Lepisosteus oculatus: one gene and its partners. The protein of the gene in region 2 binds, or shares a complex with, the protein of the main gene of each other region. Links are inferred from orthologs where the notes say so. Each region holds a gene or a part of one and is shown on either strand. Other genes may lie near its edges. The genes, in order: bmal1b, clocka and cipca.

The links.
Region 1: the proteins of clocka (region 2) and bmal1b are in contact, whole or in part, in a crystal structure (PDB 4F3L), measured with the Mus musculus proteins. The link is inferred for Lepisosteus oculatus from reciprocal best matches to the Homo sapiens genes CLOCK and BMAL1. Residues at the interface, in NP_001276755.1 of Mus musculus: Arg46, Gln49, Phe50, Leu53, Ile54, Glu56, Leu57, Met60, Leu61, Pro62, Lys70, Ser71, Leu74, Gln75, Ser77, Ile78, Phe80, Leu81, Arg82, His84, Lys85, Thr88, Glu95, Ile96, Gln98, Asp99, Trp100, Pro102, Phe104, Leu105; in XP_030097882.1 of Mus musculus: Lys70, Met71, Phe74, Ile75, Glu77, Leu78, Ser80, Leu81, Val82, Asp93, Leu95, Leu98, Arg99, Ala101, Val102, His104, Met105, Lys106, Leu108, Arg109, Gly110, Ala118, Tyr120, Lys121, Pro122, Phe124, Leu125, Asp127, Asp128, Glu129.
Region 3: the proteins of clocka (region 2) and cipca are in contact, whole or in part, in a crystal structure (PDB 5VJI), measured with the Mus musculus proteins. The link is inferred for Lepisosteus oculatus from reciprocal best matches to the Homo sapiens genes CLOCK and CIPC. Residues at the interface, in NP_001276755.1 of Mus musculus: Gln519, Leu526, Lys527, Leu530, Arg533, Ile537, Asn540, Ile541, Arg543, Gln544, Glu547, Leu548, Ile551, Gln554, Leu555, Val558; in XP_006515773.1 of Mus musculus: Asn401, Thr402, Val405, Leu406, Ser409, Leu411, Ile414, Thr415, Thr418, Leu421, Ile422, Asn425, Thr428, Gln429, Leu432, Leu435, Lys436, Thr439, Gln440, Phe442, Ile443, Thr446.

The regions. Positions count from the first base shown.
Region 1 is NC_090716.1:8,949,748-8,959,474, reverse strand, and holds the start of bmal1b (basic helix-loop-helix ARNT like 1b), read right to left. Parts: upstream 4,856-9,727; 5' UTR 4,667-4,855; intron 1-4,666. Other genes in the region: TBC1 domain family member 10A, read left to right, coding at 7,167-7,300, 7,947-8,034, 8,540-8,647, 9,476-9,662. UniProt on the Homo sapiens protein: Transcriptional activator which forms a core component of the circadian clock.
Region 2 is NC_090696.1:77,752,266-77,761,902, reverse strand, and holds the start of clocka (circadian locomoter output cycles protein kaput), read right to left. Parts: upstream 4,228-9,637; 5' UTR 4,057-4,227; intron 1-4,056. UniProt on the Homo sapiens protein: Transcriptional activator which forms a core component of the circadian clock.
Region 3 is NC_090703.1:9,789,886-9,800,471, reverse strand, and holds the start of cipca (CLOCK-interacting pacemaker a), read left to right. Parts: upstream 1-6,669; 5' UTR 6,670-6,793; exon of another isoform or gene 6,794-6,843; intron 6,844-6,895; exon of another isoform or gene 6,896-7,006; intron 7,007-7,320; exon of another isoform or gene 7,321-7,659; intron 7,660-7,911; exon of another isoform or gene 7,912-8,066; intron 8,067-8,149; 5' UTR 8,150-8,206; coding exon 8,207-8,339; intron 8,340-9,634; coding exon 9,635-9,807; intron 9,808-10,195; coding exon 10,196-10,586. Other genes in the region: pgfb (placenta growth factor), read left to right, coding at 220-249, 408-470, 1,690-1,711.

The DNA of each region.
Region 1 (9,727 bases), on a different chromosome or scaffold from region 2:
TTGACCAGGATGCTACATATGACAGCGCATAGTAGGTTAAGTACTGCCACGATTGGCAAGCTGAAACCAGTCAGGACATTCTTGACATCTGTGCATTCTGTGACTTGCCATGTGTTGGTGAGATGGCAGTGCTGTCAGCGAGGGCCACATCACTACTCCAACCAACGCTCAATCTTCTGCAGCAAGCATGACAAATGGCAGATGGCTCTGACAACAGCACGTTTTAGAGGAATGCTTACGCAGTCCTCACCTCCCGCTCGTTGTTACAAGAGCTGCAGCAGTCGAGCAGAATCGTTTAACAGCTGATGAATTTAAAACCAGGAGAGCAGAAAAGGCAAAAACAGCTGGACAGCCCTAGAAATGGAAAATAAAAACAATCCCCTTATGTCTAAGCATCAGGTGCAATTCTAATATTGCACCAAGGCTTATTTTATCTCACTGGTAAAATGCTTTGTTCTACTGTAGTCAAGAACAATACACTATAGTAAGGTTATGTGTAAGTGATCAAGAAACTAACCCTAAAATAAACTCTGTTGCAAACTAACACAATGATAACATATTTAGAGACTGTAAACAAGGCATCTGATCAGACATCCTAGTTTACAATAATGTCATTTACATTTTAAAGTACTCTTCGGTGTACAATAAGTCTCCATTTCACCCCTTTGAAACACTTCTTTGAAATATTCATTTTCAAGGAAAGGGTCAGATTAACCTCTTTAACAGAATGCCCTGACTTTAGTTAATGGTAGTGCAATAGGAAGCAATTGGAAAGGCAGCTGTTGCTGTTATTGAGATTGAACCCAACAGTATATACAGTACATACTCTTACACTATAGTGTCACTGGTGTCAGGTAAACTGGAACAAAGACAAATACCTTGAGCCTGCACATAATGCAGTCTGTTATAAGTTAACGCTTTAAAAGGTGTTCATGGCAGAAGAGCATAAAGCTTAACTGAATTAATAAAAATGGTTAAACCAGCTTGCTTTGGCGAGTAAGCTGCAAATGTCTTACATTTTCAATGGCCTTCGAAAAGCCAGCTGGCTCAGTGTACTACACTGTCGCAGTAAGCTGACTACACACATAATGGATACACTGCTGAATGACAATGCATTTCCCGAGACACATATAGCCTGCTATATATGGAACTGTATCTCTTTCTATAGAAATACTGAAACCAATGTACCCAATCCATTTGCTCTGATACAGGAAAAACGTACAGTAACACGATAAGGGTAGGGACATGTGCTAAGCAAATACATCATAACAGAGCAATACGTAACCAGTAGCTTTTGCAGACTGTTATTACAGTTGATAAGCACCACATAACATGCTTTACGTTACAGAAATCTTTGACAAATTTGATATTAAAAATAAGTCAAGTTCACTTGAACTTTAAACTAAATGAACTCAGGAGAAATCTTCCAGTAATTTCACCCACAAGAAAAGCGCTGTATGTAACATTTCAATTTTATGGATATAAAGCTACTATAAATTGCACAAAAACAGGGGTATGAAATAATTTACTCCTTCATATTTAAATATTTAAGCAATTACGTAGCTTTTTAAGAGAGGATTAGCATGCCTGTGTAGAACCATTAACTATTAAGATAGATCTTAACTGTACAGTACAGTTAAGTATATGAAGATCATAAAGCACAATACACAATATTGGAGATACACAGCAAAACACCTTATGGTCCAAAATGGAAGGGGAAAAAAAATCAGTGTAACACAGTTATGTTTCAGTGACAGTAAACATCCAACTACAGTAGGTCATGTTTTCCATGACATTCATTCTACAGAAAAGAATAAAAAATGCTATTGGATTGTTATTGACTCAACCAATGCTCATCACAATGTTTTGTTTTAAATAGCCCCTATCCTACCTTGGACATGTGAACATCTATGTTGTCTTTTCAGATTAGCTTAATTGACATTTCAGCACAGTCGAATATTTGACACTCACCTAGCATTTTAAGCAATGACAAGGATGGAAAGCATTTCCTATAAAACATTAGACGTTTCATAGGGCTAAATATCATCTGAACATTACAGGGTGCCCCAATCCTAGTGATGGTAACCTGCGTGTCTGCTTGTTTACCATTTATATTGGAATTTCAGTTACTTTAACTGAACAAATGGAGCGCTTTAATGGTGACTTTCCAGTATGTGTCAAGTAATTGAATGTTGAATGAGTGTAGATGTGCAAAGAGAAATTCGATTAATTCCAGGAATTACTATGTTTCCAAAAAGAGGTGCAAGAGAAGAACTGCCAGTGTGCGCTAACTGCAGGGAAGCCAGTAAAGTCGAGTTCGGCACCAAGAATTAAACAATAAAGCGATCTGCTGGAAAAACAAACCAGTATACAATGGGGTCAAAAGGACCCAGACTGTGAACTCAGGTCCAGCGGGAGTGTGTGTTGGTGCTGATATAGTTGAATGGACTTTGTTTAGAAAATATTTTTATCATCCTTATCATTTTAAAGTCATTTCCTTCTTTCTCTTTCCCCCAAGAGAGGCACTGCAGCGTATAACTACTGAGCCTGCTATTTTGGTGTCTTCTTATTAAATGTCCAACTACCACACTTGGAAGTGCCCTGCAAAAGATAATTCCGGGTGATACTGTACAAATGGAAACCAGCCGAGGTCTGCTTCGTGTCCGAAAAATTTATGAAATACAGCATCGAGCCAATTCACCTGGAGTGAGAGAAATTAATTTCAGTTGAAAGGTGGCTACAACTGTGCGTGTATCACTCAAACTTTTCATAATCAAAACTGACTGACTGATTTGTGATCCATCTTTAATTGAAGAAAGTACTGCATAAAGTAACTTAAATCCTTAACAGACCAAAGGTATCTGGAATGCACAGTAATACAGTTCAGACCTATATAATCACACTGGTTATGTAAACAGGTTTCATACAAGAACAGGCTCTACAATAGTTGTGTTGTTGTAAGAGCAATCACTTTGAATGGAACTGTATGTTCTTTAGTTCTTTCTGACTTGGGAACACCGGCACTGACTGAATAGCTGTGTTATTATTTACCTTATGAGGGGTGTACGTCAATAAATATTATTTTTTCTTCCCTGAAACACAGGTAACGGTCTCTGAGCTTGCTCTCTACAAATCCACAGAAATATATTTCCTATCTCTTCGTAATACGATGTTTTGCTATAAATTCTTCCCGTGAAATTTCACGCAGATTTCTATTGTCATATGCGATTGAAATAAAATAGCAATTTTAAAATTGATTAAAATGGTTTCCATGTACAGTGCAAGCACTTTTATAACAACAGTGGTGCTTCAAACAGTACAGTACTTTCCATATGGATAAGGACTCCACTGGAACTTTGCAACGACTATTAAAGGTAGTATTATTATACTTACAGTAGTATTATTATATATAAACAGCCAAACTGCGATACATAAGTATACTATTACATGGCACTACAGAAGAAAGAAGCTCCCAAACATCAGAAGCTGAACAGTTAAATATTCTCATGCGTAATACTAGCCAGACACGGAGAAGAAATAAATGAGCAGAAATTAGACACGACAATAATGAGCAGGCTATCTGTACAATCCCGGTCAGTAAATTCCTGACTCTGGTGGCCAAAGATCAGCTTAATTGTGCATAAGTTCAACAAATATAGGCAATTATAAAAACGTAACGCAGGAGGAATCACAAACTGTTTCCTTGGAATTAATTTCTTAGGAGTCCCAAGCTAGCTGACTAAAAGAGCCCTTTAACTCCTTATCTTCCGGAATCGCCGGAATATTAAATACAAGGACACCTACAACGAGGGTGAAACGATTCCATTTTTTTTCTCATCTACAAGCACAAAACAGGCAGCCAGACCCAAACTAACAATAACCAACAATCTGATATTGTTTTAAATTGCAGAAATCAGCTGACGGTTTCTTGCTGGAAATGCAACCTCTCGTTAATTATTTCCGTGTAAGGCAATAAGAGTGTTGGTAGGCCTAAAAGAGCTAGTGAACAGAACAATCCTACCTCGCAACAATGTAACAGGTAGTTAGAAGATGAAAGGAGGCCAATGTCCTGGGGGAAATGACAAATTCCCAAGTACGGTAATAGCCCCTACAGAATCGCCTCCGTGAACACTGACAGCTGTCAGTTTGCCTGTTGACAGCTACGAAACCAACTAGCTACACATTACATGCTTAGATGTGAAATAAGGCATTTTTTCACACCACCTCCGAGTATCTGAATGTGTGCAACATTTGACCCCAATAAAAACCCTATCAACGCGCCCGTGCGATGTACCGTATTTAAAGGAAACGCACGCGTTTTCTGAAGAAAATCTTAAATAACAAGCAGTCGTATAGATGTATACACGTTATTTTTTTTTTTACAAAACACTATCCATATTCAGTTTGGCACATGAGAAATGTGAAGCAAAACCCCGATTTCTTGAGGCCACTGTAAACGAAAACAGACTTTATCCTTCGCGATATGAAAGCACATCCTACGCCTTTAAAGTTATATATACATAAGGATTGCCCCTCCTCCCGAAATCGGCAATATATCCTGATTCGGAACAACACGTTACATTACAGTGTTACCTGCTTTTATGTCTGCGATCTCTCCTTATCAATATAGAGAACCAAGCCGTAAAATACTGTGCATTGTACTTACGTGATGAAAGTTAAATAAGCACATTTAAATACAGGGTAACATGGACGGTGATAAACAGCAGCAGTCTGTGACCTACTTTCTCCCTTCTGTAACTGTCGTCGCACCACTAACCTACTTTTCAACCAATTATGTCTTTGGAGCGGCCTGCATAGTCCTCGCAGCCAATCGCGCCGGGCTGGGGCAGCGCCTGGCCAATCTCGCAGGGCCGGATAAAACAAAGGAGCATTTCGCGTTGCGCTCCACGCCACGGGCGCGCAATCTCGGAGAGACACGGCCAATAGGAGGAGGCTTAGGAAAGCGAAGGAGGAAGGAAGCCTGCCGCCGACTTGGAAAAATGGTGAATCACCGAGCGCTGAAGGAGGAAATGTATCCACGACTTCGGAGCCGTGCGCGACCGTGGCACCCGATTACTCAGGCGCCCTGTGCGGCCATAAAGTTGCACGGCTTGAGTCGGATGGTTGCCTTGGCTGTAGTCACAGCTTCACACCGTTGGAGCCAAGAAGTAGACTTTGATCTTTAAACCCACCCATTTCACTGACCCGTGTGAATTTCAAGAAGAGAGAGTCTGAGCAGCGTAGTTGACAGCTCGGTGTGGCGCATCGTGCCTTACAAATTACGCGCAGTGTTCGCAAAATACAGCACCCAAGGCATCTGTCTTCAAAGAAGGCTTTTTTTTTTATATGCGTTGATGTCTTCTGCATCAAGACATTGTATATTGATGTCTTTTACAATATAGTTTCTTACATTATAGTTGCCAAGCACACACACCAGGTTAAAGGATACCCAGCACAAGATATGATTGTAACAGGAAATGGACATCGTAAACTAAAGAATGGGATTCAGATCATGGACGGCGCTGAAACCAAAAGCAAAATGCGCCACCTGTTGGAGTTTTTTTATATACATGGTCACTCTGACTCAAGAGTAGTGTTGCCACGATTAAGTAAAATATAATAATATCCATTACAAAAAAATTACATCAAAACTATGCCTCTTTTGAATTTTACTCATATTTTACCTCCAATATAAATGCATTTTAGAAGGCATAACTACACATACGCACTCTCTCCCGAATTACAGCCTTAATTTGTCAGTTCAGTCTGAAATCATCTTCCGAAATAATTGTATACCAATTGTGGAAAAATCAATTTTATTTAGTGAAGACTGAACCACCACACCTATTTCAAATCCGTTGATGTTCTTTTTAATACACATATTGAAAAAAAAAACCTTATCTGTTTTGTGTTTAGAGTCAGAATTACGGTGATGTAGAGCACACCTTTTAAACGACTATGATAAACGTCTGTGACGCTGAAGATGGATGATATCGTTACTTCAACGACATGTCATCTGTCTTTACTATATAACTATTTTCTTACACTGGTAAACTAGCCCAAAGCTGCGCCCTGTGACCTCATGCTTTATTATAGTAATAAAATGAAAACCCCTCGTCTTATGTGCGTCTCCTACACAGTATACTGCCATTTCCTTTGGGAGCTGTAAGAGAGATCTTCTTAATCAGTCTTCACACCAGAGGTGTCCATCTGCGGTCCTCAAAGGCAGCTGGCCAACAAGGTTTATAGGTACTTTACATCTCCAGCTTCTGAACAACAAGGGAAGTCTTCAACGTGTCCAATTAAATCAATAAAGAGTTGAATTAGGCAGTTAATGACTCGGGTGGAAAGAACAGCAGAAATCGTCCGTGTCTTTATCCACTGCAGTTTCCTGTATGGTGGGTTTGCCTCTTTCAAGCAGATTTCCACAGAAGCCCGCGCCATTCTCTCAGAAGCGTGTCCTTGTGCCACTCAGCCTGGCCACCGCTGATGAGAAACTGATATGGGCTGCAAGCGGAGATCTGATTAGGAATGTATTGGCCCTGGTCTTCGATCATAGTTTTGTTGGTCCATCGGTTTTTATAGCTGGGCTCCTTGATGTGAGCCATTGATTCTTCTTCATTTCTCATCCCAGGATCCCCTTATGGAAAAGTAATTGTTCTGGGCTGGGGGAGGGGTCCTATTGCTGCTGGCTTTGGTTTCATGCTGTCAATTATATAATCGAACCGCTAACTGAACCTAATAATAGGATTATTTGGACTCCTACAATTGCTCGTAAACACGTTTGAGGTTGCCTTTTAGCTATAACATTTCATCGGTAATTTAAGACCTCCAACTTTCTTAGAAAGAAACTTGCAAAGGTCAAGCAAGGTCTCAGTTTCCACTCAAAGTAGATTTAAAGTAGATTAAATGCTTGCACCTGCTGCGCATTATGGTTTAAATAGAAATCAAACTCATTAGCGAAGCAACGCTTTTAGTTGTAGTTGATTGGTTTCAGAGTTTCAGCTCTGACTTCCCATTGGTCTACGTGTTTGTCAGTTAAGGGGCGGATCGGAAACTGGGAAGCGGCGTCTGATTTGAAACAGAGTTACAGTTTACAGTTGTTACTTGTTGTTTTGTTACTGCCTTCTTTGATTTTGAGAAACCACTTTTTTTTTTTTGCTATCATGTCGCGGAGAAAGAGCAGTCACGGAAAGTCGCCACGAAGGCGTAATGTGGTTTTGGGGTTTGACGAATTTGGTTTCGCTGTGTTAGGTAGAAAAGATGTGAAAATATCGCCAGGCAGATGTCACGAATACAGGTAATGCTCAGACTACTTTATCTTGCTAGTGCAACTGCACAAGTCTAGTTTAAGGGTGGTGATTTTTATACCACACACAGTGTATCCATTATCTTCAAAATATTTATGGGAAACGTGTCGCTAAAGTAAAACAATTTGCCATTGCTAAAAGAGAAACGAGAGACATCACGGGGACATTTTTTACAGCAAACTGCTATAGTTATAATGCGTCATTTTGAATGTTTTAATGACAGCATGCCCTTACTATTTATAATAGCCCCACGTGTTTCTTAATCTTCTGTTAATGGCTTGGTATAAAAAATTATAAATACTAAGTCAGCCCCCCCTTAATAATACGAAATATTTTGAATTACCTTCTTGGAAGAGAGACGCCGCAGTTCATGTTAAAAGTAATATTCCCGAGAGTTTGACTGGGTTGAGAATAGGTAAATGTGTATATATATATGTAAAATTGCATTCTTTTGAGTGGAGTATTAAAATACTGTTAGGTAATACATAGAAATCACCACAAGGTCAATAGTTTCCTGGTCGGTTTAACATATATAATGTTTTTGCCTCCTTACAAATTCCTCATTTTACATTTTCATTGCTTATGCATTGCTTTTTCATCGCTTGGTGTTTAACTTTGTTCATTCCATTTTAATAGCTACCCCAGACCAAATGCTGTGAAGGTGAAGGAATTGTGTCATTTGCTCAGCTACTGGAATGGTTCGAGTTTCATCTGCAAGAACCAGGTAGCTTGGTGCTGTAAAGTTAAACTCTATGATCACAGAGAAGGATCTGGTCTTGACTGACAGCACATAGAGCTGTTGAAAGTACAGACCTACTGTAAGTCAGATGTGCAGTGAGGCTCGCAGGTGCTTGCTCATCCCGTATTCTGAGATGTCTTCTGGGACCACTGCCTTTATTTAATATTTCTCCAGAATTCCCATCTCTTTTGCCATGTACAGAAATGTATGTTAACCAGGATAATTCCGTTTTTACTGAAACATGTTGTAAGTTAAATGGAAGGCTGCAATGTGAAATTAAAATTCCATTTTTAATTATCCCCAGTGGCATACTCAAAGTTGTAATGTGTTTTTTTTGGTAAATAGCAGAATAGTTTAAAAATATTATTATTATTATTATTATTATTATTATTATTATTATTATTAAAGCTCTTTTATTGAGTTTTTATTTTTGTATTTTTTGCATATATGTACATAAAATCTGATATTGTGCTTTGGGTGTTTATTTCAGATTGAGCAATTTATTAAAATAGGGCTTCCACCTGAGTTACGCGGGCGTGCATGGAAGTCTCTTCTGGATGTTGAGTCAGTGAAAGGTGGCAGTCCTTTCAATTATCAGGTACTGTGCCTTTTGCAGTTTTCACATTTTCCTGGGATTTTTTTTATTACACTTTTTTTATTATTTGGCCTATTTCTTTAGTTCAGTGAACATGCAGAATTTGTTAACAAAGGTACTCCACAGTTTGCTTGATTACCAGTGCTGAGGGGCAATTGGAATCTTGTTTAGCAAGAGTGGATGACATTCTCTCTCTCTTTTTAATTTTTCTGAATTGTAGTAGAGATTGAGATTAATTTTTCTTTACAAGTTTTTTTGCCTGCCTGCCTCTCCAGGTAATATGATGACACATTAGCTACAACTATAAATTACTCTGCTTAGCTTCCCAGTAATCCCTGCCTACTTCCTTGAGGTGATCTATCCAAACAATTACTAGGTCAAACCATAGTTGAAGTCTGAGATCTGAAGGCATTAGGTTTAAAGATACCCATTGCATTTTCACATAAGTGTGCACTTGAAACTAGGATAATCCAATTCAGTATTCTTTCAGATCATAAATTATTTTTATGCATTGAGTTTGAGTAAAAGGTTTTTTTTTTTGCACTGATTCATATTAACTGGCACCAAAAAGTGGTGTCTGTAACACCTGGAACCATATCTTTGACATTTTAACAACCTATCATTCTTTCAATGCTAAAACATGATGAGTGAACTTCATTATCAGGTAACTTAAACTCATAATGAACTGTACACCACTATAATGCCAAATTGTCAGAGGTAACAAAGGGGTTTCTGTTTGTCAGTTTTTATAATCAGTTGCATAGAATCCAGAGAATTCATGAAAGACATCTGCTACACAATTTTAACAATAATTTCTGCATTTTTCTTTAGAACTGTCTCAAAGAAATTCGAAGGCCTCTCGTTGACCTTGGTGTGACGGAGTATAGTATCCGTTCTGCAATCACCATTTTGAGTGAAACGGAGAATGAAATGAGATGCACAGAAGATGGTCCTAATCCCAGTTGCGAGTTCACCAACAGTGATGTTGTCATCTTCAGACAAGTGGCTCTTGACCTCCGTGAGTATTAATTTGAAATCCTAAACAAAGCCTACATTCAAAAGGAAAAATAATCTTAATCTGTT
Region 2 (9,637 bases):
AGTTTAGCACAGGCTCATGACTGGCCATGGCATTAGAGCAACCACTATTTGGCAAGGTTTACATTCCAGAAAAGTTTTTTTTTTTCCCCGCTAACAGGAAAAATGCATTTATTTTTTTTATCTTTGCCTGAATGTCTGGACTTTCTGAACCATGATCATTGCTTTCTATTTCCCTCCTCGGTTATAACATAAAGGGACAACACAGTAAAAATGATCTGATTACTGGCGCAACAGCAACAGATGAACATCGTGTTTCAGGACTGACTGTGCCGAGATCCACTGCCCTCAGAACAGCAGAAACACTTTCGGACCAGAATATAGGGCAAACTCACGTGACAACTAACCAGTCTGGGGCATCGGAAAAATCCCGGTTTGAGGAAATAAACCAAAATAAAGTGAGTTTAAACATGCTTCAAAAGTCATTATAATAGATATTGTATAGATATTGTACATATACATTTAATTTGATTTTTCTGCGGAAGCCAACTAATATTCTGAGAGGCTCAACTGGTGAAGGTGATTACCAGTGGGCCAGGCCTACAGGTGGCCATTCCAGGCTGGGCGGGGACACAAAACAACACACGACACTGCAGATAAATGCTAAAGAATCGATCCACGAACAATGTGCAGTCCCATATTCCAGCTGAGGTGCCTGAGTATATGACATAACTAACCCAATGGCAATGCTTTTCAACTTTTTACAATGGATAATTTTACTATTTTACTGGGTAAGGTCCAAGGCCAGAGGTGAACACTGAGGTCCGTGTTGAAAGCTTTTAATTTCTCACCCACCTGCGCCCAGCTGCAGTTTCTGTCCAGACTAAGACCTGTGCCAGAGAAGACCGGGCCGCAGCAGCGCAGTTCTGTGTCTGACTGTCTTGCTCTTCTCATCCTCCAGCTGGGGCAGTGCTCCCCCATCCAACCCGTCCCAGCATGCACGACAGCCTGACACCCCACCCAGGGCCCATCTCCATGTCCGAATCCCACTCGTCATGACCTCAGGCTACACAGATGCAGCCCAGTAGGCTGGATTTCCGCAGATGGCCAGGACCCCTGGAAGCCCGCGGTTCCGTGCCGCTCCTGGACAGGGCCGGCGAGACCCTGCTCCAGTGCTGTACCCTGCACACCCGCACCAGGATGCCGAGGGAGGGCGGGGCAAAGCAGAGGCTGCCTTGAGGAGCCCCGCCTACAGGCCCGCCCCCTGTGGAGCCACCCACCAATCATTCGCCTGGAGCAGCCCAGAAGGAGGCACCAGCTTCTTATCACACTGATCGCTCCTGTCATCTCAAACTGCTGTCAGCAGCTCCTTGTGAGTGTCACACTGGGGTCACAGATCAAGTGGCCCTGTGAACTGTCCCCTAAGGCTGTGTATTCAACACAGAGGACAGATGGCATCCCAAATATACACCAAACCGGGGGATATTCATGCTTTATTTACATTGGACACGGCACTGGATCTGAGCACTTCGGTATTGGTGCTACTCTGAATATTTCAGTCAGCGTGACACAAACATGTTTTTGTGTCCACTGACATAACCTTGTAAAGCTAGTTTTAAGGCATTTAGAGGCCTTAAAGGGGAACAGCTATTTTCATTCTTCGGGGTTAGAAAGAATCTGCGTTGATGAGTGTATTTCAAGCTGCAATGAAATTAAAATGTACACAGTAACTTGTAAAATCTCGAGTTTACATCACAAACTAGACAAAATTTCGGCACAGTGCCACGTCCTGAGATTCAAAACAAGGCAACAAAACTTCCGGTGATAGCAGACCTATGACATTGTAATCAAACAGGCTTGTGAATACGTCTCTTTAATCCAACAGAAATACTGCTCTTGACTTCCAGACGGTTTTGCCGACAAATACTACTTATTTGTTAACTCTGCATGCAGATCACGTTGGAACATCTCTGCAGTGAAGTGTCTGCTGCACAAACAGTACTTATTCGCTTGTGCATCACAGTGAATCAGTCATCACAGTGAGCAGCGAGCAGGAACGGCCACAAGAGTTTGAGACAACATGGCGATTTACAGTACTTTCAGAAAGTCCATGATTTTGTGTTTAATTCGGAAGTTGTCATTTTTTTTCTAGAACGACTGTGAACGTATTTTCAATGACGTAACCGAGACTTAATAAGCGGTCTGAGAAATCAGGACTGCAGCTGCCCTTGAAATGTCACCCTCAGCGTGATGCGGGTCATAGGACTTGACCCGGGGGTACCTGACAATCTCTGGTCCATCTGCTGCACCCTGCACCCCTCAAACTGAGGCCATGCCTGACCCCACCACCACCCCAGTAGCTGTATCCCCCTGAAGCTTCCAGCTGGCCGCCCACTGGAGCCCAGCAGTGTGAGCCTGGTCAGGACCTGGAGGGGAGACTCCTGGGAGAGCTGAGGCTGCTGCTGGAAGAGGTGTTAGTGGGGCCAGCAGGGGGCGCTTACCCTGCAGTCTGTGTTGGTCCTAATGCCCCAGTATAGTGATGGAGACACTGTATTGTAAAGAGGTGCCGTCCTTCGGATGAGACGTAAAACTGAGGTCCTGACTCTATGTGGTCATTAAAAATCCCAGGGCGTTTCTCGAAAAGAGTAGGGGTGTAACCCCGGCGTCCAGGCCAAATTCTCCCTCTGGCCTTTACCCATCACAGCCTCCTCATAATCCCCATCTCTGAACTGGCCTCAAACCCTCTCTTCACCTCCCCAGTGAGAGCTGGTGTGTGGTGAGCATACTGGTGCACTCTGGCTGCTGTCACATCATCCAGGTGGGGCTGCACACTGGTGGTGGAGGGGATCCCCATTACCTGTAACGTGCTTTATATAGTGCTTTTCTGGAAAACACACTTAAATATTATTATTCTCATCATTGATGAGAGCCATCACCAGCTATTTCATCTTAAGGGAGGCAAAATGATCAAATTTTCCTCTATTTCTTGCCTTAGCAGTCTGAACACTCGAGTAGGTGCACACACGAAGACTTAAATTACCATGCCCCGTTAAAGAAGTATAATTCCTGCTAGGATGCTCGTGCCAGAAGGTGGTCGACCACCGAGACACAGCGAAAGCCTTCCGCTGGATAAGACACCCCTCCTCCTGACGCCAAGAGCACCACAGGCTAATGCTGATGCTGATGCGTTCAGCAAACGCAAACAAGAGGCGAGCAAAGAGGGGCCTTTTTATCTCCAGGAATGCAACTAGAATGGAAAAACAAAAAAAAACTAGACGTTCTTTTGGTGGGGGGGGCTGAAAACTGCCCATCTGTGACCGATCTGACGTTGACCTCGCCTCTGGCCCAGTACGGCTGCGGTCCACTCGCGCAGGTGAAACCCGACCTACTGACCCCCATTCCCCGCTGGCCAGTTCCTGCCCCCTTCCGTGCGAAGAGACTGACCTCCGCAGGAGCTCAAACCGGCCCCGGGATCAGGACGAGGTCAGGACTCACGACACCAGGGGGGGGGGGCACGGCTCCCATCCGACGACAGGCCGGGCGAAACGCTGCCCGTCCGGCATTCCAACAGGGAAGGCACCCAAGCCGCACACACCCACCCCAGCCCAGCGCACTCGGGTTCGAGCCCAGCCACAGGTGGCACAGTCACACCACCCCCGACTGGCACCCGGCGCGCCGGGAGGAGAAATAAATACGCGGACAGGCGAGGGTCACAGGTGCACAGCCGGCCGCCCCCCCGTGTTATAAAAACGGAGGAGGCGGGAGCGGCGGCCGTGTGTGCGCAGAGCAGCCCCTGACAGCACTCAGCCCCGGCTCCCGGCGGGTCGGGCTGCGGCGGGGGGGGCAGGGGAGTGTAGCGTTAAGGGGGGGTACGGAAAAGGAGAATCGGGGGGAGGGACAACACCACCACGACAACCAAACAAAATGTGGTCCAAAACCCAGCCGGCTCGTCTCCGCGCCGGGCCGCCGCGCAGCCAGCCCCCTCGCTCGGCAGCACGAATGTGGGTCACCAGGCCCCGGCGCCCCCCGCTGCCCGAGCAGCCCCGGCGGCCCCCCCCACCACCTGCCCTCCCGCCCCGCAGCGGCCCGCGCCCCCCCGCCTCGGACCGGCCGCCTTACCCGCTTGCGCTCCGCGGCTCCGCGGCTCTCCGGCTCTCCCCTCCTGCTTGTTGTTTTGGTTCAGATGGCCGCGCCGGGCTGAGCCGGAGTCACACAAACAGCAGGCCTGCCTGGGGCTCCGCGGAGCGCATGCGCGCCGGCGCCGGGAGCGCGCAGCGCGGGCGAGCGCTGGGAGGCGCCCGCCCCTCTCGAAGCGCGTGCACGGGCAATCCCTTCACGTGGGCGCGTAAGGAGTTCCGCCGGCGGGGGGGGGGTTTCTGGGTTTGTCGCTGTGTAGCCTTCTGGTACAGTAAAAGACAAGAATGTGGGATTCATACGCACCACAATGGTACACCCCCCTGACACAAGACACCCACAAAGCAAGTTATTGGCTTTGTGCAATGCTGTAGTTGCTAAAAATATTCCAATCAACTACGATGCTCATTGAACCTCGGATTGCACGGTCTAAATTTTCATTTCTATGCTGACGATACTCAGATCTACAGTCTCTGCTCTGCTTAATTGCATCTCTGACATTAAAAAACGTGGATGACTCACACTTTCCTTCATCTGACCTGCGACAAGACTGAAGTCTGGCTACATAAAGCCAGTGCTGTAACCCTATCTGTGGATGGTACTGTACTTGAGTTTCAATCAAAATTGAAGAACGTGGGTGTGATATTTAATCCAGGCTTGACATCTGACCCACATGTGTAACATGTTGTCAAAATATCATTCGTTCACCTCAGAAATATTGCCAGGCTGTGTCCTGTGTTATCACTAACTGTTGATGACAAGCTGGGCAACAGCTCTGGTTTTGTTCTCGTCTTGACTGGGGTAACATTCTCCTCGCTGGGGTGTCTAAATCCACACCGAACAAACTCCAGTATGTCCAGAATTCGGCAGCCAGAATCCTGCCCAGGTCTAGTGCGAGTGATCACATTACTCCTGTCCTGGAGTCCCTGCACTGGCTTCCTGTCAGGTTCTGTGTCGACGTCAAAATCCTCCTGCTCACCTACAAGGCTCTGCATGGCTCGGCACCTCAGTACCTGTCTGAGCTCTTATTATCACCGTACTCCCCACCTCACTGCCTTCACTCCTCTAGACTGGTCTCCCGTCTGTCCCCCAAGCCCGTCTACACTCTAGGGGTAACAGGGTCCTCTCCTGCTGCGCTCCACAACTCTGGAACTCCATCCCCAGGGATCTCAGAGAGTCACGTGCCCTGAGCTCTTTCACATCTGGACTGAAAAGTGTTTCGAGGCTTTTATTTAACATCCACTGTCTCCTCTCATTGTTTTTTGTTGTTGTTCTGTAAAGCACTTTGATAAGCCACGTCGTTTAAAGGCACTATATAAAAACAAAGTTTATTATTATGTCGCTGTTGTTGTTGTTGTTAGCTTACAATTCTTCCCTGATCTTAAATAAGATCACTTTAGTGGCCATATACAATTTCTCATATTAGGAATTTGTTTTTTCGCATACCCCTGCTTGCTCTCCATGAGACACACAGACGGGGAGAGAAGCTGGGGGTCAGAGCGCAGGGTCAGCCATTCATACGGCACCCCTGGAGCAGCTGGGGTTAAGGGCCTTGCTCAGGGGCCCAACAGAGTAGGATTCCTCTGCCGGCTGCGGGATTTGAACCGGCAACCTTCCAGCCACAGGAGCAGATCCTGAGCCACAGAGCCGCCACTTAAACCCTGCTAACGACCCTCCTGTAGTGCGAAATGCAATGTGTAGAACTTGTTGTTTTGTAATTCGGGTGTTATTAAAGACAGCCTGAACACTACACGTCCACCCCCCTTAAAAGAAGAACAGCGCTTCGCGAGCCGCAGGCCCCGCCCCCGAGCGCGTGTCACGGCCCGGCCTCCCCGCGCCGCTCGCCGGGCTGGCGTCACGCCAATCAGGTCAGACGCGCCGCGCAACCGAACTTGACTGTGCGGGCAGGGGGGCGGGGTCAGCCGCCGTGGTCAGCTCGTCCAATAACCCTACGGTCTGGGAGTGTTTGGTCAAATACTGTAGGTCCGCCCGGAGTTCTCTGTTCTGCACGAAGGCGGAGCGGCGGGCTGGACAGCTGTCCTGTGCCGTGAGCCTTCCTCCCCGGACGAGCCTGGAACACGTTCTCTGATTTCCATTCCGGTGAAATAAAAATTGCTTGCTTTTGTGTCCCTAGGGGGCTGTGAACCCTTTGCTAATTACGTGAAGAAATGTTCACTCACTCTTATCATCATCATCATCATCATCATCATATAATCGTCATTTCTCCGCATTTTGTCTCGATGACCAAGATTTGGAAAGCACGTGAATTATCTCCGTCTCCTCGGACTTCGGTCTTTAAAATCACCAACAAACACGTTTGAGGGATTCAGAACCACGAATCCCTTCGCGATCGTTTTCCACGCTTTGTTCTGTTTTAAAACTTCTTTAACAGTGGGACCTGAACCACAAGCTTCTGAGTGGGTGCTTTATTAAGCTACTGTACACCTTTTACTTCATATTCTGTGCCAGTAAAGGCGAACTTTGATTTTCATGACCCCCCTGTCCCAGTTTAGGTACCCTGAAGGTTTAGACATAATATTTTAATTTCCTTTCTCTCAGATGAGATTCTGCAGCTACCTCTGAAAAATAGCTTTGAGTCGCAAGAAAGGAGTCTTCCTTAATTTCATGCAAACCTTTTCTAAAGTTAAACTATATAATCAGACAGGTCGAAATCGTATTTTAAAGTTATTTCCTTCAGTCGGGGTTTGGTATATTTTTTTAAATGTTCATAGCTACCGCCCACATGCTAAGGAACAGACACCTGTTGGAGCTGTAATAAGATTCTCATGCCTTACTTTGCATACATATCATACTAGCATGAGGAATAGGTGGATTTAATAATTACATTGCTGTGGCCAAAGAACTGATTTGTTTCTTTGTTAAGGTCTCTGTGAATGTGAAGAACTAACTAGGACAAACAAGTACATCACTGTGTATCTCTAGAGTCTAATTAATTTAAATATTTTGAATTCAATTATATTATTAATATTTAATTTCAATATTAATTTCATTAATACTTCAGATCAAACGTTATAATAATACATTTCTCTAGGGGCAACAACACTCAAGGACGGGATGCTTTGCGAGTGTTTGGTTTACTCGGTGAGGCGTTTGGCTCTGTCTGCCTGGCGAGAGCACGAGGACACTGGAACCCCAGTCAGACTGAGGGAGCCCAGGGTGGGGGCGGTGCAGAGGAGGGGCGCCGGGGCTCAGCACAGGTGGCTGGTTGGGCGGTGATGGCGGCTCGGTGCGGCTGTGCTGTCATCCCTCCTGCACCTGGCTCCCGGACTGCAGGAGGGCCTGGCTCTGGACAGCAGAGGAGGGGCTTTCAGAGCGCAGCAGGGTCGAGCAGCCTCGTCTCCCGCTGCTGCCTTCGAGTTCGGGCTCTGGCCTGGGACAGCCGCGGGGGGGTTTGTGAAGCCCGGGTGATGTCATCACAGTCCTGCGATTAGCAGCCGACTCAGTGCCAGGTTACGCTGGGCACATGTGGCCTCCATCACACAGCATGAGATCCTCCCTGTAACCAGCTCACAGTTCACAGTCTTCAAAGCCTCCCCACGGTCACTTCGCCTTCCACTGTCTCTGATACATCTCGCTTCGAGTGACGAAGCTCGAGGCCCGCCCCTCAGTCGTCTTTAATTCACGCTTATCAGAGTCTGCAGAGACCTGGTCTCGAGGTAAACCAGACACAGGTAGGCAGTGAAGTGTTTTAATAGCCAATCCATCACACTTACCTGTCAAATCTAATTGACTCATTGACAGGCGTTCCTCATCATCAACCTCAATCATTCTGTCCTGCGCTGCCATAAAACGAAATATCCACGCAGCTAAATGGCTGCTTTTCATGCTACAAAATACAGATCCATCAGGGTGTACTGCAAGCTTGAAAAAACATGACTACTATTTCAGCAATATTTCATATTTCAGTAGAAGATCACAGAACAATTGTTACCTTCTTTCTGCATGAAGAAGGAAAAGCACTGAATAAAAAGAGCAGACATGAGGAATGTCTGAGACACCCATGTACAGACTGCAGTATGTGATGCGCTCCACATACGAGAGAAAGAGAACGATATTCTAGACACCTGGTGATAATGGCCAAATACATTGGGATCATTCAGTAACAAAAGAGAAAAAATAAAAAATAGAATGGAATATTTCATAATATAATCACACAGGAAATAACATTAGGGAATCATATAATTAATATAATAATTATGTAAATTATACACACAATAATCACAGAAAAATCACACAGGCATCGCTCAGGATTCACGCAGGGCATTGCACTGGGAATCGCATAGGAATCACGCAGGGAATCAAATGGAATCACACGGAATTGCACAGAAATCACAAGAGAATCACAGGAATCGCACTGGGAATCACACGGAATCACTTAGGGAATCACAGGACTCACACAAGGAATCACATGGAATCACACAGGGAATCACACAAGGAATCACACAGGGAATCACACAGGAATCATGCAGGAATCATGCAGGAATCACGGAATCACACGGAATCACAGAGGGATTCACTCAGGGAATCACAGGACTCGCACAAGGAATCACAAAGGGAATCATACAGGAATCACGCAGGAATCACAGAGGGAAACAGCCCCAGTAACCTGGAGCAGTATTACAATACTGTATACCGCCTGCTGTTACACAGCCTTAATAGATGTTGTTGACACTAAACCTTCAAAAGCTTTTCCCTGGCATCGTATGTCACAGATTAATGACAAAGCACGTGTCTGTCCAGCTACAAGCCTTTTCAAAGCAGCCTTTCTTTAGGAAAGTGCAGTTTTAATTTTTTAACCCTGTAATGATGAGAGAACCACTCATTTTCCAGCAAGACCACTTTACCCTTGCCATTGGACAGAGATACATGATATCATCATTGCCATGTACCATATGTATATATATATACAGTAAATGTATATATTTGGGAATGGATATGATGCCAGTGAGCAAATTAAGGCTGAAGGTTCAGAACTTAACGGAAACTGAAATGAAAAGATAAATCGATGTGTACTGTTATCGATGCTGATCTGGAATTTAAAAAGCCATTAATAAATTAACCAACACAAAAGATCGTTTGAGATCTCCTCAGTTTTCAGCCTTCAAGGAGATTAATTTAAACTTCACACGGTGGGGAAAATCCATCTGGCACAACAGTGGTTAAGCAATTCAAAGAAGCTACACCAGAGCATTATGGGATGTGACCTACCTTTAATTCCACTGAGACTGCTGCAGCTAAGCCAGGCTGTTTTGCATGCTAAGCACAATGATAGCGAATTCTTTTTCTCTCCCAGTGTTTCTCTTGGCTTTATTTTTGGGGATTCCTCACAGATCTGCCCAGCGGTTCCCTTTCTTCTGTTGAAAGAGTCAGTGAGCGGAGGACGAAGCTGCGCAGCTTCTGTGCTGGCCACCGTGGGTAGAGAAATTTTCCAAGAGCCCAGTGTCCTCGCCCGAGACGAAATACATTTCAGACGCTGACCTCTGGAAGCTCTAGCGAAGTTAAGGTTCCGAATGCCCATAAAAATTGATTAACAACGAAACATCAG
Region 3 (10,586 bases), on a different chromosome or scaffold from region 2:
CTTCTACCTTTCACCAATAGAAGGGTTACATTCCTAAATTTCAAGTTCATATTGCCATCGCAAAATCTACAGTGCCTCCTTAGACACTCATTTTCAGTGTAACATATGTTGCTTAATAACATTTGTTTCTTTTGCTGTTTTATGTTCCCTTTCAGTAACAAGAATATAAATCACAATAATCTGAGTTATTAAAAGCATATGTTCTGTTCTTGTCCCCAGACTCAGGAAGATCACTGTAAGAAATGAAAGGTATTATTATTATTATTATTATTATTATTATTATTATTAATTATTATTATTATTATTACTAGAGGCAGTATTGAGGTTATTTCACTCTTCTGCTGCCAGTGTTTTGTAAAAGGTGACATAACAGGCCCTTGTATTTTTGTGCTCTTGCTTTCCTTCAGGAGGAGACAGAGGGGGAAGGGAAGGAAAAGAAAGGAAAAGCAGAAATCGAAAGACTGCGACACGTAAGTTCATGCTCACGTGAAACCTGAAACTGCAGTCCCTGCCGTCCTGGCCCACAGCATCAGTCCAGCCTAGTGACGGGGGCCTGAACCCTGTCCCTCATGCTTCAGGAGAGCATGATGCTGAAGCACAAATATCACCGTGACAGAGGGGTAGCTCAGAACATCAAATTGCGATTATTTCTTGGCCTTTTGCATCCTGCAGATGTGATTATGAGTGTCCATTTTGTCCATGTGTGGTCAGGCACTGCTATCAAATAATGTCTCAAATTGCTCAACCTACATGATTGACATTTAGGAGTAGTGTTTTTGCTAGGTAGTGCCAAGTGACTACTTAGATGATCCCTTGGCACTGTAAGACTACAAGTTTCCCTTTGCTCTGCATTAATTTCACTTTGGGATGGATCAGTCTGGCCCCCCTAATTTCCCCCTTTAATTCATTAAGTGAAGCCAGTTCCCCCTTCTCTGCTCTGTGTTGTTAAAAGTGCTAATGCGAAATGGCGGCCACACTTCACTCAGATGTGAGCAACAATTCAGTGGTGGATGGGGCAGATCCCCTCCTATTTGTAAAGCAGATTCAGGGTCTTTTGGGATGAAGAGCTTTATACAAATGCAAGGAAATGTTTTTAAAGCACTGTAACACATCGCACCCTTGACTGGTAGCATGGTAGGGCAATCTGCACATAAACTGTCTCTAATATAGAGGAGACTAGATGGCAAACTATAATGTAGCCTTCCCACCCTAACGGAAGTCCCAAAGAAGGCTCATCTAGGGCCCTCCTTTTCACCAACAGCTAACATGGCTAAGACCGGGGCTGTTGGAGAGGCTGACATGTCCCTTCCAAGCCAGCAGATCGAGGTGGCGATCTGTTAAAGGCACTTAAAGGCATGAGGCTGTGCTTCTGCTATCAGACAGACACAAGGTTTTACACTACCATCTCCACATTTTATTTGATGTATTTTAGGAATAAATAAAACTGAAACAGTGGCATAGCACTGTACAAATGGTGCCATTTGTAACAAAGCACAGCGCATTGAGATAAGCAGAGGTGCAGTAAGGCACGACACTGATTGTGGGGAAACGTTGGCACACTATTGCATTGACACTTTCAAACCAGAGGACAGAAGCTGGACACCTGGTGATGTTACTGGTGAGGGGACTTCCTTTGGCTTTGTCATTCGCCTGACCGACTTCCTCTTGTCCTCCTGTCTCCCCCAACAGGTGTCAGCCTCCTCGCAGGTAACCGAACGGCAGCCGCTGTCGTCACTGTATTTATTTCTTTTCTCCAGTCAGACTTAACAACATTGGCAGTCTTTTATGCACTTTTGGGATACTGCGTGCTCTTCGTCTGGGCTTGAGCGACCCGCAGTGACGGGCGGGACTCTCAGGAGCAAGGCAGTCAGAGGGTCAGCCAGGCCAGCCGAGACCTGAAAGAGAAACCCTGGCATCACCTGGCAGGACAGGTGGGCAGGGAAACTTCGCCATGAAGGACAAAGGCTCAAGGTTAAAGACTCAACTTGGAGGACTCGCGTTTTCTTTTTTTTTTCTTACGACACAAGTATTTATTACAATGAATAGAGGCAGTAGACACCAATTACAAAACTCCTGCTATTGTAATCCACGTTCTGTACCGAGCCTTTTCCTGGACACAAGAAGAAAGATAGTGTTCAATCGGGTCCAACGTCCGGGACTGCGAGAATATGACCCCACTAACTCAGCTTCAGAGCGTGGCTGGTCCTGCCGCCATCATCCCTTCAACGCTATTGTCTGACTCCCTGTTAAAGTGGAGGTTTGTCACATACCCTTTCCCCTGCAGTCACAGATTTCTTTTTTTTAAAAATCTGTTAAACTGAGCCACTGCGTAGAAAACCTCTCCGGAACAGCAGGAGCAGACAGAACAAAGACAGTGTAGAATGAGATGCTGAAAAGAAAAGAAAAAACACCGACTAATTTTATATAAGAAAACAAACAAATGACTGTTTCGGAATTAGCACACATATGGCCCGAACTATGAAATGTTACTAAGCCACTCGGCAAATAGTCATTAAAAAGCTTTTCCGGTGAGATAAAGTTCGTTCTGAGGTTGTAATTGATTTCACGTGGTATTTCCACAGCTACAATAGGTGGCAGTCTCCATCTAGTGGTAACCACGTATTATAGCATCAAGTATTAAACTCTCTTTTGGACACTTCATTACTTGATCTTTGGTCAAAATAAGCCATATAGCTCGCCTAATGTATCATTTCGACTTTTTGGATCTTCCTTAATCTACAATATTATTTAAAGATCGATTGCAAAAGATCCTAGCAAGATCATGCTTTGAAATTCATTTCCTCCAGGTCCGTGAGTTCATATGTGGGGGAGATCGAGTGGGGTTGCGTTAAAAACGGTTATCATTGCAGAACCACTATAGAACTTTCTTTCTTGTTTATGTATGAGGGTTTTGTAAACTGGTGCATGACTTACTAGTGGCACCACAATGCACAATCAATCATAAAAGAAACAATAGCTGAGAAATCCAAGACAAGATAATGAAATGTCCCAGGAATAAAATAGTTTTCTTGGCACTGGATGCTGACGTTTAGAAAAGAGAACAGCAATCTGTCTAAACATATATTCCAAAAATGAGAACATTGTTGCCTGTGAGAAACCTCACTGTTATGTTTCAAAACATCCACAAAGTCTTGTGTTACACACTTGGCCAAAACAGAGGAACACCCAAGTCCAGTATCGCTTATGGCTCAAATGATGTTCGCCAGCACTACTGGATCATCACGAATGATAACACTGAGTAATGACAAAGGTGATTAAAATTAATGTAAAGCCTATCCAAGACCATTCCCAAAGAAGATTCAGGCAATCTGAATTGGGGAGGCCAGATCAACTGCTAATTATTTTGCACAATAAGCGGATATTTTTCTAAACGCAAAGGTAGAACGTCATACACATAGAATATGCAGAAAGTAAAAAGTGAAACGAAAGGGGAGTCTGGAACACTCTCAACATTCCTTATGAGGATTTTTGACATGTATTATTTTTTCAGTATATAAGGAGAGGATGAGCGCTTAACTGACTAAATTAACATTCCTTGTGTTTGAAATGCTTCCATTTTTGTCACATGGGCAAAACCAATTTTGATGACGAAGGTTGCCACAGTACGTAACAGCTCACTACACGTTCACCGTTACGGAAGTGACGTCATCTACCCAGATAAATAGACGATGTATGATTCTCTTGCGGAAGAAAACCCGGTGTCGTGACGCAGTGGAGATCGGCGCTGCCTGATTTTGATGGAACGTGTAGCAATCCCAGCAGGGTTAGAGCAGATCTTCACCGGCCACACGGAGCTGGGCGATTTTCGAGGTGTCATCCCTCCTCCCTAACGAGATAATGGTGACATCTGTGTTGTGGTCTGTTCTCAGCTCGTTTCACCCCAGCCAGGCAGATTTCGACAAGTTCCTACCAGGGATCGCAAGCTGCAGATACAGCTAAACCTTCAGCACTGTTGATATGCAGTACAGAGACCTTCCATTTTGTACTGCGATCACTTGAATCAAACAAGTAAAAGGCTTATATCACTTCACCTCCTTTGTTTTTAATTTAATTCAATCAGGGAGGGTGCGGTGTGCAGTGAAAGAGGAGCAAGCTGTGTGAAAGACTGTAAGAGTCTAAAGTACTGGACTCATTATTTAGTCTGTGCTTTAATAAGAAAACATGCACCGACAACAGCAAGGATTCATTTTTATTGTATTCTCTTCTTACAACAAACAAAATCACAGTTGTTTTTGGAAAGCATCCTCTAATAATTCTGTTGTGAGATTTCTTTACTGGAATTATTGACACCTTTGTATCTGTTCTTTTTGACAATTTGAAGGGACTTGCCAAAGCAGTGGATTATTAGAAAAATATTGGTATTTTCTAATAATGCAAATAAAATGTTATAATGCTTTAAACAACCAGTAAATCATTAAATTTACCTTTTTATTTTATTAATAAGAGTCTACCACAGCAGGCAGAAACACCAATACCAAGATTGATGTAAAACCACATACTGTATGCTTTGTCACATTAAAAAGGATGGTATTGAAATCTAATTTCTATTGTAAATAAAAGCAATGCAGGATCAGTCTGTGTTTATACTGTACATTGTATATATAAATGTATTACTGTTAATAAATAATACATTATATTTAACCCAATGAGTGTTCAAATCCTTGTCAGTACAAAGATAATATAGAAATGTGTGCTCATATAACTGAAAATAAAAGGGGGTAGCCCGTGGGTTATCTGTGTTTTTATTTCAGATTTCCTTAATCTTTCCACATTATATCACATATACATTATATATATGTTACTTATATAAAGCCCTGGTCAAGACATTGGAAACATTTTAAATCACAAATTCAGGCAAATACTGTATGTGCATTAATTTCCAATAACCACCTAGTTCAATACAGAGATGTGGTCACCAGAGCCCACCACTCAGGGCCTAAAGTAAACTCATAATCAATAACAGAACCTGACCATACTTGAACTTCCTGACACTTCTGGTTAAGTCTCGCTCAGTGTTATTCAGTGGTGGGTGAGATGGGTCCCCTGTCCGCTATATTAAGAGTTGTGATTAGAAACGCGCTATAGATATTTGAATTCAAAGCTTGCATCCTCAGTGGCTCTTCATCTTCATGACTTTGCATTTAGCTATACACATCTCTCCCAATCTGCTGCAGAAAAGATATAGTGTATTTCAGGCTTGATCATTCTAAAGCAGCACTTATGGGTGTAAAGGAACAAGTAATAGGTTTATTCCGTGCTGAAAATGCTCCTTTGCAGCCTACGCATGCTGACGCAGCTACCCACCTGAACTACTTATGGGTTTATCCAAACATGCTCATAAAAAGTTGGAACATGTTCACAACTCAGTGTCTGGGACTTTAACCAAAAGTAAAATTCATGAGCATGAACTGGACCACCTGGTTAGGTTCCTTGCACTGGTTCCCTGTTGATCTCAGAACCAGATTCAAAATACTGAAGCTCACTTTCACGAGCTTAAATAGAACACCTTCTAATAATTGCAGCAAACTGTTAATTCCCTACACACTAGCACATTTGTTGGACTCTGGGTTTCTTTCAGTTCCTAAAACCTAACTCCAGACTCTGGGAGAATGGGGTTTCCATTCGTATGCTCCAGGACAGTCCACATGAGATCTCCCCAGGCATTCAGCACTTTCAAAAATCACATTTATACTCTAGCTTTTCATTCTGTTTAATTTAATTTGTACATGCCTGTTTCTCTTGTTAGATTGTTTTATCGAAAAGCAATCGAAGATTGCTTATAAAATTAAGGTTGTTATTATTATAATGTAAATGTATCTGATTGTCAAATGTTTAGTGGCTAAATCTGAGAGATTACTAGATTACTTTCCCTTGGAATGGGAGTTTAGTGATACCTACTCTGTATATATGACACCAGTAATACCATGTACTTGGCATGAAAGTCTCTGAAAAGGTCAAGCTAATAGACAATAATTACAGCGAGAAAATCTAAAGTTCAAAGCTTTGTTCCCAGTTAACTTTTAACTTTTCTGTTCTAAAAGTAATTTGAATGAAAAGGCATTCCCCTCTTCACATTTTCTTTTAAGTAAGAACCTGTGTTTTTGAGGCTATGTTGCTTTTGCTCATTTTGTTATGAAACCTTTAATTGTGTGTCATTTTTTAAAAACATATATATATATTTTACTCTACTTGTACAGAGCCAACTGTCCACCAAACAAAAAATGCAACAGAACAAATCTGCCTAGGGTTAAAACCACTGGAAATATGCAAAGCTGAAGCTACAGTTCTCAGAAAGAAACTTTCACGGGGGTCTCTCTATTTCTTTAGCATGACTCATAAATACAACTCACTCTTCTTGGAAGAACTTCATCCAGGCTTCCGAAGCCCACAGGAAGACTTGCTCAAGGGAGGATAAGTTTTTTAATTTGTAATTTTTTTTTTACTTCACAAGTACTGTGTGGATATGCTTTCATTATCATTCTTGGACTTCTGTCAGAGTTGAATGCCTGTTGTACAAGTCATAAACTTTTTTTATGGGTCACGTTTCTGGGCTCAATGCCATTACCGAACTCCAATTAGAGGGCCGTAAAAGGACAATGGGCGGGATTTTCCGCCGCAAAATACAGTGACGTCACGAACGCTCCCCTGGCAACGCTTGCTGGATCCCGCCGTAAACGAACTCATGGAGTCGTAAACAAAACAGAAAAGAAGGAGTCTATAGCTTGTTATCGTCGTGATGCTGTGTTTTCTTCAGCAGCGTTTTGAAGAAAAGGTGTTTATTTTTTAACCTGTTAACGTTTTTAAGCGAGCTGCCGACAGTGAGTAAGTAGGCGATGACCTTTACCTATCTATGCGGGACTTTGTGTATCCGGAGGGATGTGGTGTTGGTCGCGTGTCGTGCGTCGTGTATCAGGAACTATGTCACAGGCCAGCAAGCTACAGTCACAGCTCGGGCTGCAAGAAATCTAGATAAGGCAAATCTTGGGTTAGTTTCTGCCGTGCCGAAACGATTGGAATCTGTGCAAGGAGCAAGCAGACTCCCTTGAATAGGACGTTAAACAAATGCAGAAAACATTTGACTCTTCTACAGTCTTCGCGTGTCTATCGTATTGCGATAATATTTTGGTTCTTGCATCGCTGGGATGTATGTACGTGCAGTGTATTCGTCAACGTGGGACGTAATTTTATTTTACAAAGGGTTTAATATGCCGCTGCGAGAGTCGGATGGCAACATGCATAAGTGCGATTATTTTTACTTATTGTGTAAATTGTGATTTGATGAACGAAATGCATTCTCGTTTTTGTACAGTCAGTGCTGAGTGAAACGGCCTTTAGTGTGGCCGGCTTTTACACTTCTCGGAACCGAATCATTTTCCACTTTCATACTAGCTACGTCATAAATGCTATCTTAAAATTAAACTGCTTGTCGGTCTATGAGAAAACGAAGAACACATTACTATTTATATTGGTTTTTTTCGCTGTGGCCACAGCTGAAGATATTTAGTTCAAAGAAGATCGTAAGAGAGAAATACTTTATTCTTTATTCAGTCTGCCCCAGTTTCCGAGATGTTTGGTTTTTGTCTCTGGTGCAGTTTGCTACTGACGTCACTGTTGGCCTTTGTGAATTCATTAGCTTTGGTATGTAAGGAGGAATGCTTTCTGTTCAGTGCTGTAATGCGTTGTGTCTGGTGAAGTTGTATAACTAACTATGATTAACAGCATCACATAATTGCCTTTTCTCTTAAAAATTAGGATGAGATAATAGAGAAACGTACGTGTTTCTTGGTACAGCACATTGAATGAAAGATCTGGAGAATTATACTTATTCTGCTTTTCCCAAACTCTTCAGATCTACTGCACGGCATTAAAACATTGTTTCCCCATTCATAGGCTTCTGCATGCAGGGGATGATTTACAGACTTCAAGGCTGAACTCGACAAGTTACTGTGCTACACTGGACGTCTTTCCTTGGGGCTCCCAATTAAAGTTTGTCAGGATAAGACGCACGGCTAGCACACAAGACCGAGGACGTGTTTTGTAAGGATGTAAGAGACATTACGCCTGCTGCTGACACAGGTCTGCTTGCGATGCTTCCCTGCTGATGTTCGCCCCTGTCTTTGGTCCACAGACAGTCCCCCGAGTGAGAGAGATGCTCCTTGGCTGAACGCAGAGAGCCCGATCAGCCATGAGTAACAGAGGGAAAGCAGAAAGCCACAGGAGGCTGTCAGCGGGGCTGCATGCTGACATGATGGACACGCTGAAAAACCTGCAGCCAGACAAGGGGAGGAATGAGTCGGAGCGGGACTCGGGATTCTCAGGTGTGTGCCTACTCATGGCTGTTGTTCCTGTCACAATCCCTTCACATCTGTGAATGTGCATGGCACGAAATAAATGTGGGTTCTGTGCTGGAAAGTGGGGACAAAAAGCATCATCCAGGTGGGGCTGCACATTGGTGGTAGTGGAGGGGATCCCCATTACCTGTAAAGCGCTTTGAGTGATGTGCCCAGAAAAGTGCTATGTAAGTGTAAGCAATTATTATTATTATTATTATTATTATTACTATTATTATTATGAGAGGAAAAGAGAGCAGGAATGTGGGCTCAAGGATGGAGGGGGCTAAAGAAAACACAAGAGTTGGTAGGAGGGGGAGAAAGAGAGGCACAGAAATCCAGGAGAGGCGAGGAAGGCAGGAATGGATAAAACAGAGCGATACAGCTCATTTTATGGGGATGCTGGTATCATCTGGTTTTTGTTCCACCTCCGTTCTCACTTGCATAGTTGCCTGATTATTTCGTCAGCTGCATCATTTGTAACACTTCTAGCCAGGCTCCCAGGTGATATCTGTGTAACTGTACCCTTGTATGGTGTAATCAGCTGTCAAAACACCTTATGAATAATATTATCCTCTTAATTTAGAAAAGCGGGTTAATTGTCTGATTGTTCCTACTGAGAATGGAACAAAAGCCAGAAGAGACCAGACTCTCCTGAATTTGAAGTCCTGGTGTAAAGGAGAGGAGAGAAAGGTAGAGGTTAGGTGGTTGGTGACGGCTGGGACATTGTGCAATTCCAGCTTAGGGTTAACCATAGACTCAGACATCCCTTTTCCTCATATTTCTGCTGTCTCCTCAGCCAAAACCTTTTTCCTTCTATTTTTTTTGGTTGTCATTGTCGAGTTAATCACACCTTGTTCCTCTGCAGCTCACATGCTGATACAGCTCCCCACTCAAATGCCCTGCACAGGAGGCAGGACTGCTCCAGATCAAATCTAATCTGTGCCAAATGGCCAGACTCCTTTTCTTTGTGTCAGCTTGTTTTAGCTTATATTATGGTTTCGTTTTTGTGTTAACGTCTGCTTCAAATGAAGCCGCTATCATGATACAGTGTCTTGTATTACTTTGAAGTGTACTTTTTTTAAAAATGCTGGTTTGGACCAACCAGGCAGGAGTTGAAAGAATGCTGACAGTGTTCCACTGGTTGGTCCTCTCCTCTTCTAAGTTGACTGCTGCAGTAGATGGTAATGCCTTCTGATAGGAACTTTGCCTTATTTAATATAGTTGTTTTACCTGCCCTCAGCTCGCAGCGCTGACTGACCTGCCATATGTTTGACTCCCAGATGCTAGTTCTGAGTATCTGAGTGCGGTGGAGCAGACAGATGCTGAGGATGGACAGAAAACCTCAGCCCAGAGCATCAAGTCTAAATCTCAGCTGCCACAGCTGGCAGTGATGGGGGGAGGTTACCCTGGCCTTTCTCCCATGATCATCATGAACAACGTCCTTCTGAAACAGGTGCAGAGGAGCTCCCTGTTTGGCTCTTTCAGAGTTTATAATCTGTACCGTCATTAACTTGGCAGTGATATAGATTTATTGCTGTTTGTGTGTCCGATGTCTGTGTAACACAAGATGATCACTCCTTTGATCGCTCCTTTGAATCATCCATTTTAATGATTCAAAGGAGCATAACCTGTTATGTGAGTGTGATTTCTCTTTCCTAATTTTCCTAACTAATTTCCATCATCTGATTGGAGAAATCATCAGTCTTTTTGCATTGTGCACAGTTCAACAGGGAGGGTTAGTGGTAGTGCCCAAAATATCTTTAGGTTTAGTAAATATATTTTTTTTATGTAATCTGCATGTTAAAAATAGCTAAATGATTGCTACATTTGTCTGGTTTCAGGCAAGTAATTGCCCCCCTGCTGTGAAGCCCTGGGGCTTTCAACCAGCTATAGAAGTGATTCCCCAGCCTCAGGTTGTGTTCCTCCAGCCTGTCATTTCTAACGGTATCACAAACACGCAGAAGGGACCCCAGGACAAGAGGCGCCGATCGCAGAAGTACCTGCCCATCCTGAAATCCTACCCCAAAATAGCCCCTCACCCTGGGGAGAGCTCCTCAGAGAGGAGTGCTTCTGGCTCTTCAGAGCGGAGTGGTTCGGCCTCCGCCCGTGTGGACAGAGCCAGCGCACTCAGACACCGGCGGCACAGCAGGGAGAAACAGCTGAGTCGGCTGTCCAGCACAGCCAGTCCCACGCCATCCGGCCTCCCTCTGCCGCTGACGCCCGAGCCCAGCA